Notamacropus eugenii: one gene and its partner. The protein of the gene in region 2 purifies or fractionates together with the protein of the main gene of each other region. This does not show direct contact. Links are inferred from orthologs where the notes say so. Each region holds a gene or a part of one and is shown on either strand. Other genes may lie near its edges.

Region 1 (7,117 bases), on a different chromosome or scaffold from region 2:
TCACCAATCTGCCCTCCCTTGTAGCATTCCTCCCTTCCCTTATCCCCATCTTCTCTTTTGTCCTGTAGGGCAAGATAAATTTCTATACGCCATTACCTGTATATCTCATTTCCTAGTTGTGTGTAAGAACAATACTCAACAGTTGTTTCTAAAACTTTGAGTTCCAACTTCTCTTCATCCCTCCCTCCTCACCAACCCCCACTGGGAAGGCAAGTAATTCAATATAGGCCATATCTGTGTAGTTTTGCAAATGACTTCCATAATAGTCATGTTGTGTAAGACTAACTATATTTCCCTACATCCTATCCTGCCCCCTATTTCTTCTACTCTCTATTTTGACCCTGTCCCTCCCCAAGAATGTTGACTTCTAATTGCTCCCTTCACTCATTGTCCTCCCTTCCATCATACCCCCTACCCTGCTTATCTACTTCTCCCCCACTTCCCTGTATTGTAAGATAGGTTTTCATACCAAAATGAGTGTGCATTTTATTCCTTCCTTTAGTCGAATGTAATGAGAGTAAGCTTCATTTTCTCTCACCTCCCCCCTTTTTACCTCCACTGAAAAGTCTTTTACTTGCCTCTTTTATGAGATAATTTGCCCCATTCCATTTCTCCCTTTCTCCTCCCAATATATTTCTCTCACCCTTTAATTTCATTTTTTTAAGATGTGATCCCATCCTATTTGACTTACCCTGTGCTATCTGTGTGTGTGTGTGTGTGTGTGTGTGTGTGAGTATGTGTAATCTCACCAACTACCCAGATACTGAAAAAAGTTTCAAGAGTTACAAATATTATCTTTCCATGTAGGAATGTAAATAGTTCAATTTTAGTAAGTCCCTTATGATTTCTCTTTCCTGTTTACCTTTTCATACTTCCCTTGATTCTTGTGTTTGAAAGTCAAATTTTCTTTTCAGCTCTATTCTTTTCATCAAGAATGTTTGAAAGTCCTCTATTTTATTGAAAGACTATTTTTTCCCCTGAAGTATTATACTCAGTTTTTCTGGGAAGGTAATTCTTGATTTTAATACTAGTTCCTTTGACTTCTGGAATATCATATTCCACACCCTTCAATCCATTAATGTAGAAGCTGCTAGATCTTGTGTTATCCTGATTGTATTTCGACATTACTTGAATTGTTTCTTTCTAGCTGCTTGCAATATTTTCTCCTTGACCTGGGAACTCTAGAATTTGGCTACAATGTTCCTAGAGGTTTCTTTTTTTGGATCTCTTTCAGGAGGTGATTGGTGGATTCTTTCAATATTTATTTTGCCCTCTGGTTCTAGAATCTCAGGGCAGTTTTCCTTGATAATTTCATGAAAAATGATATCTAGGCTCTTTTTATGATTATGGCTTTCAAGTAGTCCCTTAATTTTTAAATTGTCTCTCCTGGATCTATTTTCCAGGTCAGTTGTTTTTCCAGTGACATATTCCCCATTATCTTCCATTTTTTCATTCTTTTGGTTTTGTTTTGTGATTTCTTGATTTCTCATAAAGTCATTAGCCTCCATCTGTTCCATTCTAATTTTGAAAGAACTATTTTCTTTAGTGAGCTTTTGAACTGCCTTTTCCATCTGGCTAATTCTGCTTTTGAAAGCATTCTTCTCCTCATTAGCTTTTTGAACTTCTTTTGCCAGTTGAGTTAGACTGTTTTTAAAGGTGTTATTTTCTTCAGCATTTTTTTGGGTCTCCTTTAGCAAGGTGTTGACCTGCTTTTCGTGCTTTTTTTGCATCTCTCTCATTTCTCTTCCCAATTTTTCCTCCACCTCTCTAACTTGATTTTCAAAATCCTTTTTGAGCTCTTCCATGCCCTGAGACCATTGAATATTTATTTTCGATGTTTGGGATACAGAAGCCTTGACTTTTATGTCTTTCCCTGAGGGTAAGCATTGTTCTTCCTCATCCAAAAGGATGGGAGAAGATATCTCTTCACCAAGAAAGTAACCTTCTATAGTTTTATTTTTTTCCCCTTTTTTGGGCATTCTCCCAACCAGTTACTTGACTTTTGGGTCTTTTGTCAAGAGCAGGGTATACTCTGGTGATCTGTAAGATCTCAGTTCCTCCCAAGTGGCACAATCAAGCATGTACACTGGTCTGGGAGTAGGGGGAGATTTTTGTGTCTAGAATCTTAGCAGAGTTTCCTCTTCACAACCACCTCACCTCCAGTGCCACCAAGACAGCATTGGGGGCTGAGATTCAGATAAGATGTGGGGGCAGGGCTGCCATTTAATGAGCGATAAAGATCTGCCACAGGGCCTTTATACAGAGTTGAGGTAAAAATCAGCTGTTCAGCACCCCCAGGGGTTTTACAATCCAACAACACATGCGGGCTGCTGTAGGGGCTGCTATGGGAACTGCTACTGCCTGCCCGATGAGGTCTCTGAAGGTTGCAGCCTGAAGTTGGAGCTATGGGAAGGTCCTTCTCCCTTCTTGGCCAGCTGAAAAAACCCTCTCACTGACCTTTGGCACCTGTGGGTTGAAGGATCTGTGAACCACTGCTACTGCGACTGGAGATTCCACCCCCAAGCCCTGTTCATGTCCTCCTAGAGTTGTGCCATGCTGAGCCAGCCAAGGCTGGGCTGGGCTCCACTCTGCGTCCAGTGTGACAGACATTTCCTATTGGCCTTTCAGGTCACCCTGGGCTGGAAATTTCCTCCACTCTGTTGTTCTGTGGCTTCTGTTGCTCTAGAATTTGTTGAGAGTCTTTTTTTACAGATATTTTATGGCTGTGGAGGGAAAGCCAACATACGTGTGTCTTTCTACTCTGCCATCTTGACTCTACCCCCTCTCTAAGAACATCTTTACTAGTTTCAAGTCAAAGCAATTTTATATATATATATATATATATATACACACACACATATACATATTCATATAGATATAGACATATACTTATACATGTAAACCTTTTAGTAGGGTGCTAGATTTGGTCAAAATGACTTGATGTCTTTGAATAAGTTAAAAAGAGATCAGACTTTTGGGGGCACAGGGAGCATAAACTTCTTTTACCCATGGAGATTATCATTGGCTTTACAATTTATAATTTTAGAAATGTAGGAATCTTGTGAGTTACCAATTAAGAGGTTCTTCCACATTTTGAAATTGCAGCTGCTGCTACCGCTGCTGTTTTTGTTGCTGTTATCTTGCTCTGTTTTCAAAGAGGACCGATGACATCATGGAGTGATATCTTGACTCATACTTGAACTGGATTTAAGTGAAGGAGAGTTGCTCTTCCTGAGTCATTGAAGTTAAAAGTCAGGATGACTGGTGATGGCCTGTAATGAAGTTAATGACCTTGGAGGGGCAAGTGTAGTAGTCATGGAGAGCTGGAAAAACTAGAGAAACCTCAAACCACAAAAGGGCTTGAGGAGTAAGACAAGGCAAAGTCAGTAAAGGGCATCAGCAAGACAGATCCTCAGATTTGCTGAGGAAAAAACAGAAGTATGGATCAAACTTCTTTTCAGGAAATGAGTACTTTTCACTTCCTGAATATATGCCAATTGTATATACCACTTTTCATGGTATTGTGTTATATTCTCCAAGTCTCTTAGACAAGCAACAATCTCCCCCTCAAAAACCAAACAAAAAAGCACTCTACCCAACCAGTTTTTAACAATGGTCTGATATAATGGAGAATGCTAGATTGGGAATCATGATTCTTGGGCTCAAATATTGTCTACAATACTTCCTAACTCTGGGGCCCTTGGCATGATACTTTATGTCTCTGAGTCACAGTTTCCTCTTCTCTAAAATGAGGTTAACACTATTATCATTGGTTACCTCACAGGTTTGTTGTAAGGAAAGTACAGTGCTTTTCACAAAATAGAAATTTGATAAATACATTTTGGATTGATCCGAAGTGAGGTATTTGGGACTTCAAATATGTTTTTCCATAGTAAAAAAAAAAGGGTCATAAGTGATGTAAGTTTCCTAAGCTGGTCCATAAAAACCTATTTCACTCACAACACATGAGATCTATAGTAGCAACAGAATTGTAAACTCTAAACCAACTCTGTTTCATCATATTGTGTCCACAGAGACAAGTGTTCTAAGTTCTAACTCTGAATTCTGAGAACATCTCTCCTTTTTTTTATAGTCATAATAGCACGTCTATGCCAGCTTTCTCAGTCATCTTAGAGAGTGAAAAAGGAAGGTATCTGACTTGCAGTGGCAATTATAAGAAAAAAAGCTATATTTACTGATTTGCAACAAGGAAGGGTCCCTACTTGGTGGAGAGGGACTTGAAGCAAGACTTATGTCATGGTAGCCAATTCCATATATAGACAAGACATTCACAAGTTAAACATTTATATCCTGAAGACTTCTTTAATTTTTGGATTATTTCATTTTGCAGGTATGTGATCATTCATAGCCAAGTCTAATTACATGACATGTAATGCAGAAAAATTTGTAAATATTTTGAAAGTTTCAGGGATTTCAGTCCATAAGTTGAACAGCGTTCATGAGATACAAAGAACCATTTTTGTGGCATTAAAATGGACCGAATATGTAACCTGAAGCAAATGTATAGCAGGAGTTGTTGTGTTCGTCCTTCGTTGCTGAAGAAGACCATGCCATCAGAGAAATGACATGACTTTCACTTAACTTTGTTTTGAGTGAGGTAGAGCTGTGCAGGTCACCAGCCTCACTTCTCCTCCAGAGCCATCTGAATTCAGTGACTAGATATTCATCAGGATGACTGGAGATGACCCAGGATGAGGCAATTGGGGTTGTGACTTTCCCAAGGTCACACAGCTAGTGAGTGTCAAGTGACTGAGGTGAGATTTGAACTCAGATCCTCCTGACTCCTGCACTAGTGCTCTATCCACTGTATCACCTAGCTGCCCCATAGCAGGAGTACTCTAGCACACAAACAGTGTCAGGTACTAGAGATAACTACAAATAGTTTTGATAAAAAACCCAAATGAACCCTAGTTGTTTTATGTCAGCAGAATATTTCGTTCCACACAGAGAACTGAACTAGATACCTGTGTGAATTTTCCATGGAGCAGGCCTCATTAGTGTATAAGACTTTTGTACAATATTGGGTAATCTTTCAATTACAGTAGATGAGAACTTCTCAAATTACTGAGGTTCAGAACTATTTCTGAATTCAAAGAATGATAGAGTTGGCAAGGACCTGCAAGATCAGTTAATCCAACCATCTCATCTTACACACAAGGTAGCCAGCTCCTAGAGATGTTATAGGACGTATCCAGGATCACATACCTTCTTAAGTGGCACAGCTAAAACTAGAATTCAGACATCCTGACCCCCAGTGCTTTGCATTATTACTCACCATGTCATGCATCAAACAAAGATTTATTTTTTTGTCTCTTCCTTGTAAGAGGGCTACAGACATTGCAGACATAGGTGATTCTGCTTTTTGGATTGCCACATTAGGGATTGGTAGTCAGTCAATCCATCGACAAGCATATATAGGTACTAAGAACCTATTATATTCCACCGTACTAGGCAGTGGAACTAAAAACATAGGGAAGGAAAAAAAATCGCTATCCTTGACACACACCCCCTACACATGTGGAATAAATGTAAAGAGAATAAGTACAGATTGGGGGTGGTGAAGAAGCACGGTTGTTGGGATAATCAGGAAAGGTTTCAAGTGAAAAAAGTGGTGCTTTAGATGCATTTTGATAGAAGAGAGGGATTGTGTGAGGCAGAGATGAGGAAGGAACTGTGTTATAGGCATAAGGGACATAAATGTGAAAGCCTAGAGATAGAAGAGGAACTGTTGTGATTGAGGTATATGGAAAAAAGCACTTTAGTGGGATCTAAAGATTGCAGGAAAAAATAACATATAAGGAATCTGGAAAGATAGCTTGAAATGGGCTTTTAAAAAAGGAAGCTTTCTGATTTGGATGAAAATTACAAGAAGCAATTATATAAGTTACTGACTGCTAGCAAGGAAAGAGACCTGATTTGGTACAGAGAGGCATAAAGTGAAACCTGGGACGTGGTCAACACTATATATAGATTGATTATATTAAAATGAAAAGGTTTTGTATAAGCAAAATCAATGCAGTTAAAATTAGAAGAAAAGTAGAAAACTGGGAAAAACTTTTCACAGCAAGTTTCTTTGATAGAGCACTTGTTACTCAATTATGTAGAGAACTGAGTTAAATTTATAAGGATGCCCATCATTACTCAACTGATAAATGGTCAAAGGATATGAATCGGCAGTTTTCAGATGAAGTAATTAAAGCTATTTTTAGTTATATGAAAAAATGATTTAAATCACTATTCATTAGAGAAATGTAAATTTATAAAGCTCTAAGGTACCACTTCATACCTATCAAATTGGCTATATGACAGAAAAAGAAAATGACAAATGTTGGAGGGAAAATTGGAACACTAATGCATTGCTGGGGGAATTGTGAACTGATTTAACCATTCTAAAGAGCAATTTGTAACTGTGCCCAAAGGACTAAAACACTTTATATATCCTTTGAACTACCAATATTACTGCTAGGTTTGTATCCCAAAGAAAGTTTTTTTGAAAAAGGAAAAGGACTTATATGTGCAAAAATATCTATAATAGCTCTTTTTGTGGTGGCAAAGGATTGGATTGGAAATTGAAGGGATCTCCATCGATTGGGAAGGGGCTGAACAAGTTGTGATAGAATACTATTGTGCTATAATAATGATCAGGATGCTTCAGAAAAAACCTGGAAAGACTTACATGACCTAACGAAAAGTGCAGTGAGGCAAATCAGGAGAACACTGTACACAGTAACAGCAATATTGTACAGTGGTCAACTATGATGATCTAAGACAATTCCAAAGGATTTATGATGAAAAATGCTGCCCACCTCCAGAGAAAGAACTGATAGAGTCTAAAAGCAGATCACAACATATATTTTTTAGACTTTATTTTTGTTGTTTTTTGGGGGGAGGTTACAGGGGGGGGTCTAAGTTTTCTTTCAAAACATGGCTAGTATGGAAATATATTTTGCATGAGTGCACATGTATAATCTATATCAAATTGCTTGCCATCTCAGGGAGGAGGGAGGAGAGGGAAGAAAGGAGAGAATTTGGAACTCAAACTTAACAAAAAAAGAATGTTAAAATTATTTTTCCATGTTGTTGGAAAAAAATAAAA
Region 2 (7,012 bases):
CTGAGTACTGCAAATTCCTGTTTATCCAATCTCCAGGGCTGGGCTGTCCTGGACTATGCCAGGTCAGACTTTGCTCTCTGTATTATAGGTCCTTTTTAAATATTTGACACCTTTTTTTCTGAAGAGGGAATCAAGATTTGAGAGGGAGGACTGAGAGATGCCAACAGGATCCTTGGGTTCCCCAGACTAAAAGAAAGGATTAATTGGTAAAATGTCATAGGGTACTAGTGGGGAAAGAAACTGAAGATGGGAAGGGAGCAGAAGGAAGAGATCATGATGTTTAGGGTTCAGCATAGGGACATCATTCTTGCTCAAAACCAAAGTACCTTTCCTTGGTACCACCCAAGGTAGGGGTGGAGAGGAGGCCAACCTCCTACAGAAGTTAGGGAGAATAAAGGAAATCTACCTTGTCCCGCATACTTGGTACCCTCAATTTGGGGCTTCCCTCTATCCTAATAATATAGGGTTGCTCATCCCTCTTCTTCCCACTTATAATTTCTGCAACTGTCTGAGTTGCTTAAAGGGTTTGAACATAGATAAAAGGGGGGTTGGCAGTAATTTTATTTGGAGGGAAAAGGGAAGAAAAAGGAGTCAACAAGTGGTATTTGGGACAGAGTGAGGATCTCTTGGGGAGATGAGGGCACTTTCAGGTATAGGAAGGAGCTCTCCCTGCTCAGGAGGAGCTGGAGTCGGGGGAGGAGGAGCAGAGTGACAGGGAGGCAGGGCTCCAGGGAGCATCAGGTAGATGGAGCTGCCAGAAAGGATGAAGGAGCCACAGACAAGGAAGGAAGCTTTAAAGTCACCTGTCATATCCCGGAGGAAACCTGTGGAACAGGAGAGAAGAGGCATGGGGAAATTAAAAACTTCTCTCCCCAAGGGAAAGTAGAAACTCGAGGTGGAGAGGGGAGGAAGGAAGGGACCAAATCATCCTATGTGCCTGACTTCCTTACCTGAAAGTGGTGGGCCCAAGAGGCCCCCCAGGCTCATCAGCATCATCACCAGTCCTGTGGCCTGCAAGATGTTCCCAAGCCCTACAAGACCAGGCAGGACACCAAATACCAGGGGAGCAAATGCACCTGCACTCATCCCGTAGGCTCCTGCTGCTGCCAGTAGGGTTCCCCCCCATCCTTCTTCTTCCTCTTTCACCAGCCCCACTGCCACCAACCCCAGTCCTGTCAGTGCCCCAGTCATGGCCAACAACCGTGGAAGAGGGATCCAGCCACGGTCTGCCAGACACCCTGAGATCAGTCGGGTTCCTGCATCCCCCACTGCTGCCCCAGCAACCACCAGAGCAGCCCCATATCCTCCAAGCCCAAGGTCCAGGGCATGGGGGGCAAGGTGCACATAGGGAATGAAGTAACCAGCCCCCACCAAGGTTGTCCCCAGTGAAAACACGGCAAAGGCAGGGTGGGTGAACAGGGTGAGACCAAGAGCATTGAGGGGACTAGGAGATGGGGTAGTAGGATCTCCAGAGAGAGCCAAAGGCCGGAGCAGGGCCCCACAGGGGGTGAGATGGAGGGTGGTGGCCCCAAGCAGGAGCAAGGCACCTCGCCAGCCAAAGGCATCAAGGAGGAGCTGCAGAACTGGGGCCAGGAGCAAGGAGGCCACCCCATTGCCTGTCAGGGCTAGCCCCACAGCCAGGACCCTGCGCCTGCAGAAGTATCGAGAGACGGTGCCCAGGGCTGGGGCAAACACCAGAGCCCAGCCAGAGCCTACAGAAAAGAGGGCAACTGAAGTCAATGACTCTGACCTTCCCTCCCCCAAGGAATGCAGGTACTGCACTTCCCTCCCTCTCCCACCTCACCCGCAAGGAGGCCAAGGCCAAGGTAGAGGTGCAGGAGGCTGCTGGCAAAAGCAGAGAGAATGAAGCCAAGGGAAGTGATGATACCTCCCACCATCACCACAGGACGTGCCCCCCAACGGGTACTCAGAGCACTGCCCACTGGGCCTGGGAGAGATGGGAATTAGAGTCAGTTCTAGCATGTCCCACTTATGTTTGTTTTCTGCCTTGCAAGGTTCCCTCACCTAACCATCCCTGTCCCCCCAAAAAACCCTATGGGACCCACCTTTCTGCTATGCTGCCACCCACTTTTGTCCTCTAGGCTAGTAGCTGGATTAGTTCTTTGGCCCTCTTCTTAGCTTTGCCCTGTGCTATATCTTCTGGGCTACCTTTTGATCCTTACTGAAGCCTTAAAAATCATCTTGTTCCCTTCCCCCCATCCCAGCTTGCTTAGGGCCCTCCTCACTGGCAGCCTGCTGCACAGCCAGAGCTATGGCGCTGACCCACGCAGTGTCCTGGGTACTTCGATCAAAGTACTCTGCGAAGGCAGGGAGGGCAAGGCCCAAAGAGCGGAGCAGCCCATAGGAGAGCCCGTTCACCACAAATGCAGACCCTGCCACCACCCAGCCCCAGCCCCCATCAGGGGGCCTGGCCAGTGAGGGAGACTTCTTCATCTGTTGGAACAGAAATACAGAAATGAGAAAACAAGAGCAGAGGAGGAAAAGGATCATAAGAACCCCATCACTCTCACCCCTCTCTCTGGCTTGGCTCCTCCTTAAAGACTAGGTTTTAGGATTTGCCTCCCTCCAGTCTTCCCATGGACAGAACACCCCTGTGGTCATAAGGAAAAGCCATTAAAGGAGCCTGGAGTGGATGAAGAGGGGCTACTAGAACCTTGGAACCAAATACCCAGCTCCTTTTGGTAGGAATGGGGAGATGAAGGAGTGATAGAGGAGAGATCTGGGTGCCAGGGAAGCCCTCCCCCAACAACACTCCATCTTTTAATCAATAACCTTCCTTCTCCCCTCACTTACCCTCAGCATTCTGTCTGTTTAGATGGGGAGGACAACGATGATCCTCTTCCCACTTCTGCCTGGAGGAGGTCAGAAGCCTGGCAAGGGAGAATAGCAATAGAACTGACGAGTGTTCTCTCTTTGTAAACAGAAGTTACCCTGAGGGACCAAGCCACCTGGGCAAAGAGGAGGAAGGAGAAGGTACAACAGAGTGGAGTGGGGATGGACCAGGGCTGCCAGCCAATCACAGGAGAAAAACAGGAAGTCTAGGAGTTGAGTCCCACGGTGATTGAATTACTTCTCTTGTAAGAGAGGGAAGTCCCTTCCAGTTTCTCATACATCCACTCACCTGCTCTTGTCTCAGCAAGAAAGAATACAGTGGTTTACAAAGCCCAGAATGCACCTTTGGTCCAGGAGCAGAAGTAGATTAATAAGACATTAGGCATAGCTAAGAATGATCTTAGAGGTAAGTGTCATGTAGTTTAACACTTTTATTATTTAAGAGGAGGAAACTGAGGCCGACTTGAAATATCACCATATCATTCTAACCTAAAAATCAGGTCTTTAAGTACCCACTGCCCAGCTCAGGAGTGGGTGAAGCAATTAACTTTATTGAGCTATTCCACTCAGAGCATTCTGTGTGAATGATGAAGTGGGCACAGATTATTAGTAAGGCAGAGGTACTGACTGTCTCTAAAGTTCCAATTCTGGAAATGCGCACAGAGAAGAAAGCATTATCTCATCACTCTTTGTACTGGAATACCTTTTCTCCACTCTCTAATATCCTTGTCCTCAAAACCCCTCCAGTCCCATTGCACCACGAATTTAGAAATTATTTAGTAGAACCTGCCTCCCAAACCCCTTGTCCAATTTATAGACAAGGAAATTTAACCCAGAGGAAAAGTGTCTTGGCCAGTTCCAGGGAACCACCTCCCCTTCTCCATCAAAAATTATCAACCCTTTCTTTAAAAAAAAAATTTCTTATTATGAACTTGACAAAAGTCAACAAACATGAACTTTCTTTAAACAATGAACAGATAAATGGAAGTATATGACCAAATCTCTATTACGTATACCTTGGTTTTTAAAAAAAGGATATATTAAGTTTAATTCAGTAATCCCCTCTTGGAACTTCTTTTAGCTCTCTTGTATGTTTTTAAATAAGTTTTTATTTTTATATTCTGTTTCTTCCATCACCATAGTATCCCAGGTATCCCTCTTCCTCCTCCTCCCAGAGAACCATTCCATGTGACAAATAGTACTTTTTGAAGAGGAAAAAAAATCAACACAGATCAATCCAAAATGTGAACAATGTGTAACACCAGTGGACTTAGCATCTCCACAAAGGGATAGAAATGTCTTTTCTTATCTCTTTGTTTGCATTCTGATTGAGCTTTATAATTTTATTATATTTACTCTTGATTTTTTGGTGTGTTGTTTTTCCATTTGCATTGTCATAATTGTTGTATAGATTGTTTCTTGGCTCTGCTTAATTCACTCTTCATCAGTTCACATAGGTCTTTCCATGCTTTTCTGTATTCATCACACACATCCTTTCTTATAGCACAGTAATATTCCATTACAGTAGTGCACCACAGTTTGTTTAGTCGTTCCCAAATGTTGTGCATCTACTTTATTTCCAATTCTTGGCTATCACAAAAAGTGCTGCTCTAAATATTTTGGAGTATATGGGGATTTTTTTCCCTTCTCAATGGCTTCCATGGGGTATAAGTTTACCACTGTTTCTCTGGTTCAAAAGATACAGGCATTTTTGCCACTTTATTTTCATAGATCCAAATTCTTTCAAAAATGGTTGTACCACTTCAAAGCTTCACCAACAGTGTATCAGTGTGCCTGTCTTTGGATAACTCCTCCAACACTTATTGTTGACGTTTTTGGTCATTTTTACCAATTTGCTGAGTAAGAGGTGAAACCTCAGGATTGTTTGGATTTGCAATTTTCTTTTTATTAGTGATTCAGAACATTTTTTTCATTTAGTTGTGAATAACTTGCAGTTCTTTTGAGAACTGTTTGTTTATGTTTATTCACCTACTGGAGAATGGCAATTAGTCTTACATATATTTATTGATTGATTATATATCTTGGATACCAAACCTTTATCAGAGAAATTTGATACAAAGATTTTTTTCCCCCATTTGACCACTTCCCTTCTTATCCTGGATGCATTAACATTGTGCAGAAGCTTTTTGGTTTCAAGTTTCCTCTTCTGCTGTAAACACAGTATTATATTCCTCCAGTTACTTTAATCTATTTTTAAGGAGGCCCTGTTCCCACTGGTTCTTTCATCCCTGATTCCCTGTTCTTGTTTGATACACTTTTCCCTTTAGGGTTTTGTTTATTAGTTCATTTTTCTGTCCTGCTTTTGTGTACTTATGTATTTCTTTCCCCCTCTCAATTAGAAAAAGATTCCCTCTTCCTCTCCTCCCCTTCAACTAATCCTGTTCCTTAGTTTTGAAATTTTGTTTTTGTGTCCCTTTTCATTTTTTTAAAATTTATTTATTTAACTTTTAACATTCATTTTCACAAAATTTTGGGTTCCAAATTTTCTCCCCACTCCAAACCACTGAGCATTCTGATTGCCCCTATTACCAATCTGCCCTCTCTTCTATCATCCTTCCCTTCCCTTGTCCCCGTGTTCTCTTTTGTCCTGTAGGGCCAGATAACTTTCTATACCCCATTACCTGTATTTCTTATTTCCTAGTGGCAAGAACAGTACTCAACAGTTGTTCCTAAAACTTTTGAGTTCCAACTTCTCTTCATCCCTCCCTCCCCACTGTGTCCCTTTTCAAAAAGAATTTCTCTCACTCTTTTCTCTCAAAATCAGCTACCACATTGATGGTAAATTCTTCAACTTGAAAAGGCTACAAGTCAAGATCCAGGTGGAGGGAGTGTTGGTGCATGGTTTTCTGTTTGCGGATGATTGTGCATTCGATACAGCCTCTGAAACTGACAGGCAACAAAGTTGTGCTTCTTGTGCTAATTTTGACCTAACAATTAACACCAAGAAAACACAGGTGCTCCATCAGCCACCACCACACCATTCATATGTGGAACCACATCAGTTACAGCAAATGGAGAAGTTTTGAATGCTATAAATAAGTTCACTTGCCTTGGTAGTGTACTTTCCAGGGATATACACATTGATAATGAGGTTGACACATTGTAATGAGGTTGACACATTGTCAGAGCTAGCTTAGTGTTTGGGAGGTTCTGAAGGAAAGTTTGGGAGAGAAGAGATATTAGACTGACTACCAAACTGAAGTCTACAGAGCCATTATGCTGACCTCATTGTTGCATTCCTGTGAAACCTGGACAGTCTGCCAGCAGCATTCCAGGAAACTGAATCACTTCCATTTAAATTGTTTTAGGAAGATTCTGAAGATCACATGGCAGGATAAGGAACCAGACACTGAGCTCCTTACTCAAACTAAACTGCCAAGCATTCAAACTCTTCTTCAGAGAGGGCAATTCCAATGGGCTGGCCATGTTGTTCAAATGCATATGTTTTATATGCTTGCCAAAAAAGACTGTTTTATAGAGAACTCACACAGGGCAGGCATGGTGGTCAGAAGAAGCGATACAAGGACTCTCAACGTCTCTCTCAAGAACTTTGGAACTGATTGTGTGACAAGGAAGACAGGTCTGCTGTGTAAATTTATAGTATCCACAGGCTGTACAAATTTAAAGTATCCACCCAAAATGTCCACATGGACTATTTGTGTCTGACCTGTATTCCGAGTTTCTATAGGTCTGATCAGCCATAGTTGGACACATTGAAACTTGACTCTAGCATAGTGATGTCATTTTGGTCCTCTTTGAGAAGGAAGTACAACAACCAACCAATCATTATCCATCTTCTCTCTTTGTTTACTCTAGACCCTATAATTATCTGGTCTCTCTCTTTTTTCTGTATTCTTCATAAAATCAAAGCTTCCAAGGTATCCATTCTAGGCTCTCTCCTTTGGGTGCTTTCTACCACTGCCTTGTAGGGCTTACCCCATGGATTCCCCCTTTCTATTGTGTCTCACTCATAGAACAGTGACAATTATTGCAAGTGTCAGAGAGGACACTGCCCTATGGTAGAGCCCTTCCCCCATCAAACCCCTGATTATGAAGTCTGCCACTGATATGCCTTCTCTTGTTGACTTTTTTTTGGTCTATATTTGCCTGGAAACCTACTCCCTTTGTTCATGTTCTC

What was found.
Region 1: the proteins of SLC16A11 (region 2) and EMB purify together in Homo sapiens (co-immunoprecipitation; 3 studies listed by BioGRID and IntAct, counting the BioPlex papers as one, with this or other methods). This does not show direct contact. The link is inferred for Notamacropus eugenii from reciprocal best matches to the Homo sapiens genes SLC16A11 and EMB.

Annotation. Positions count from the first base shown.
Region 1 is NC_092875.1:413,021,238-413,028,354, forward strand, and holds the start of EMB (embigin), read left to right. Parts: upstream 1-4,109; 5' UTR 4,110-4,257; coding exon 4,258-4,351; intron 4,352-7,117. UniProt on the Homo sapiens protein: Plays a role in the outgrowth of motoneurons and in the formation of neuromuscular junctions.
Region 2 is NC_092873.1:78,938,075-78,945,086, reverse strand, and holds SLC16A11 (monocarboxylate transporter 11), read right to left. Parts: upstream 2,512-7,012; coding exon 2,247-2,511; intron 1,949-2,246; coding exon 1,805-1,948; intron 1,713-1,804; coding exon 951-1,712; intron 825-950; coding exon 592-824; 3' UTR 547-591; downstream 1-546. UniProt on the Homo sapiens protein: Proton-linked monocarboxylate transporter. It catalyzes the transport of pyruvate across the plasma membrane.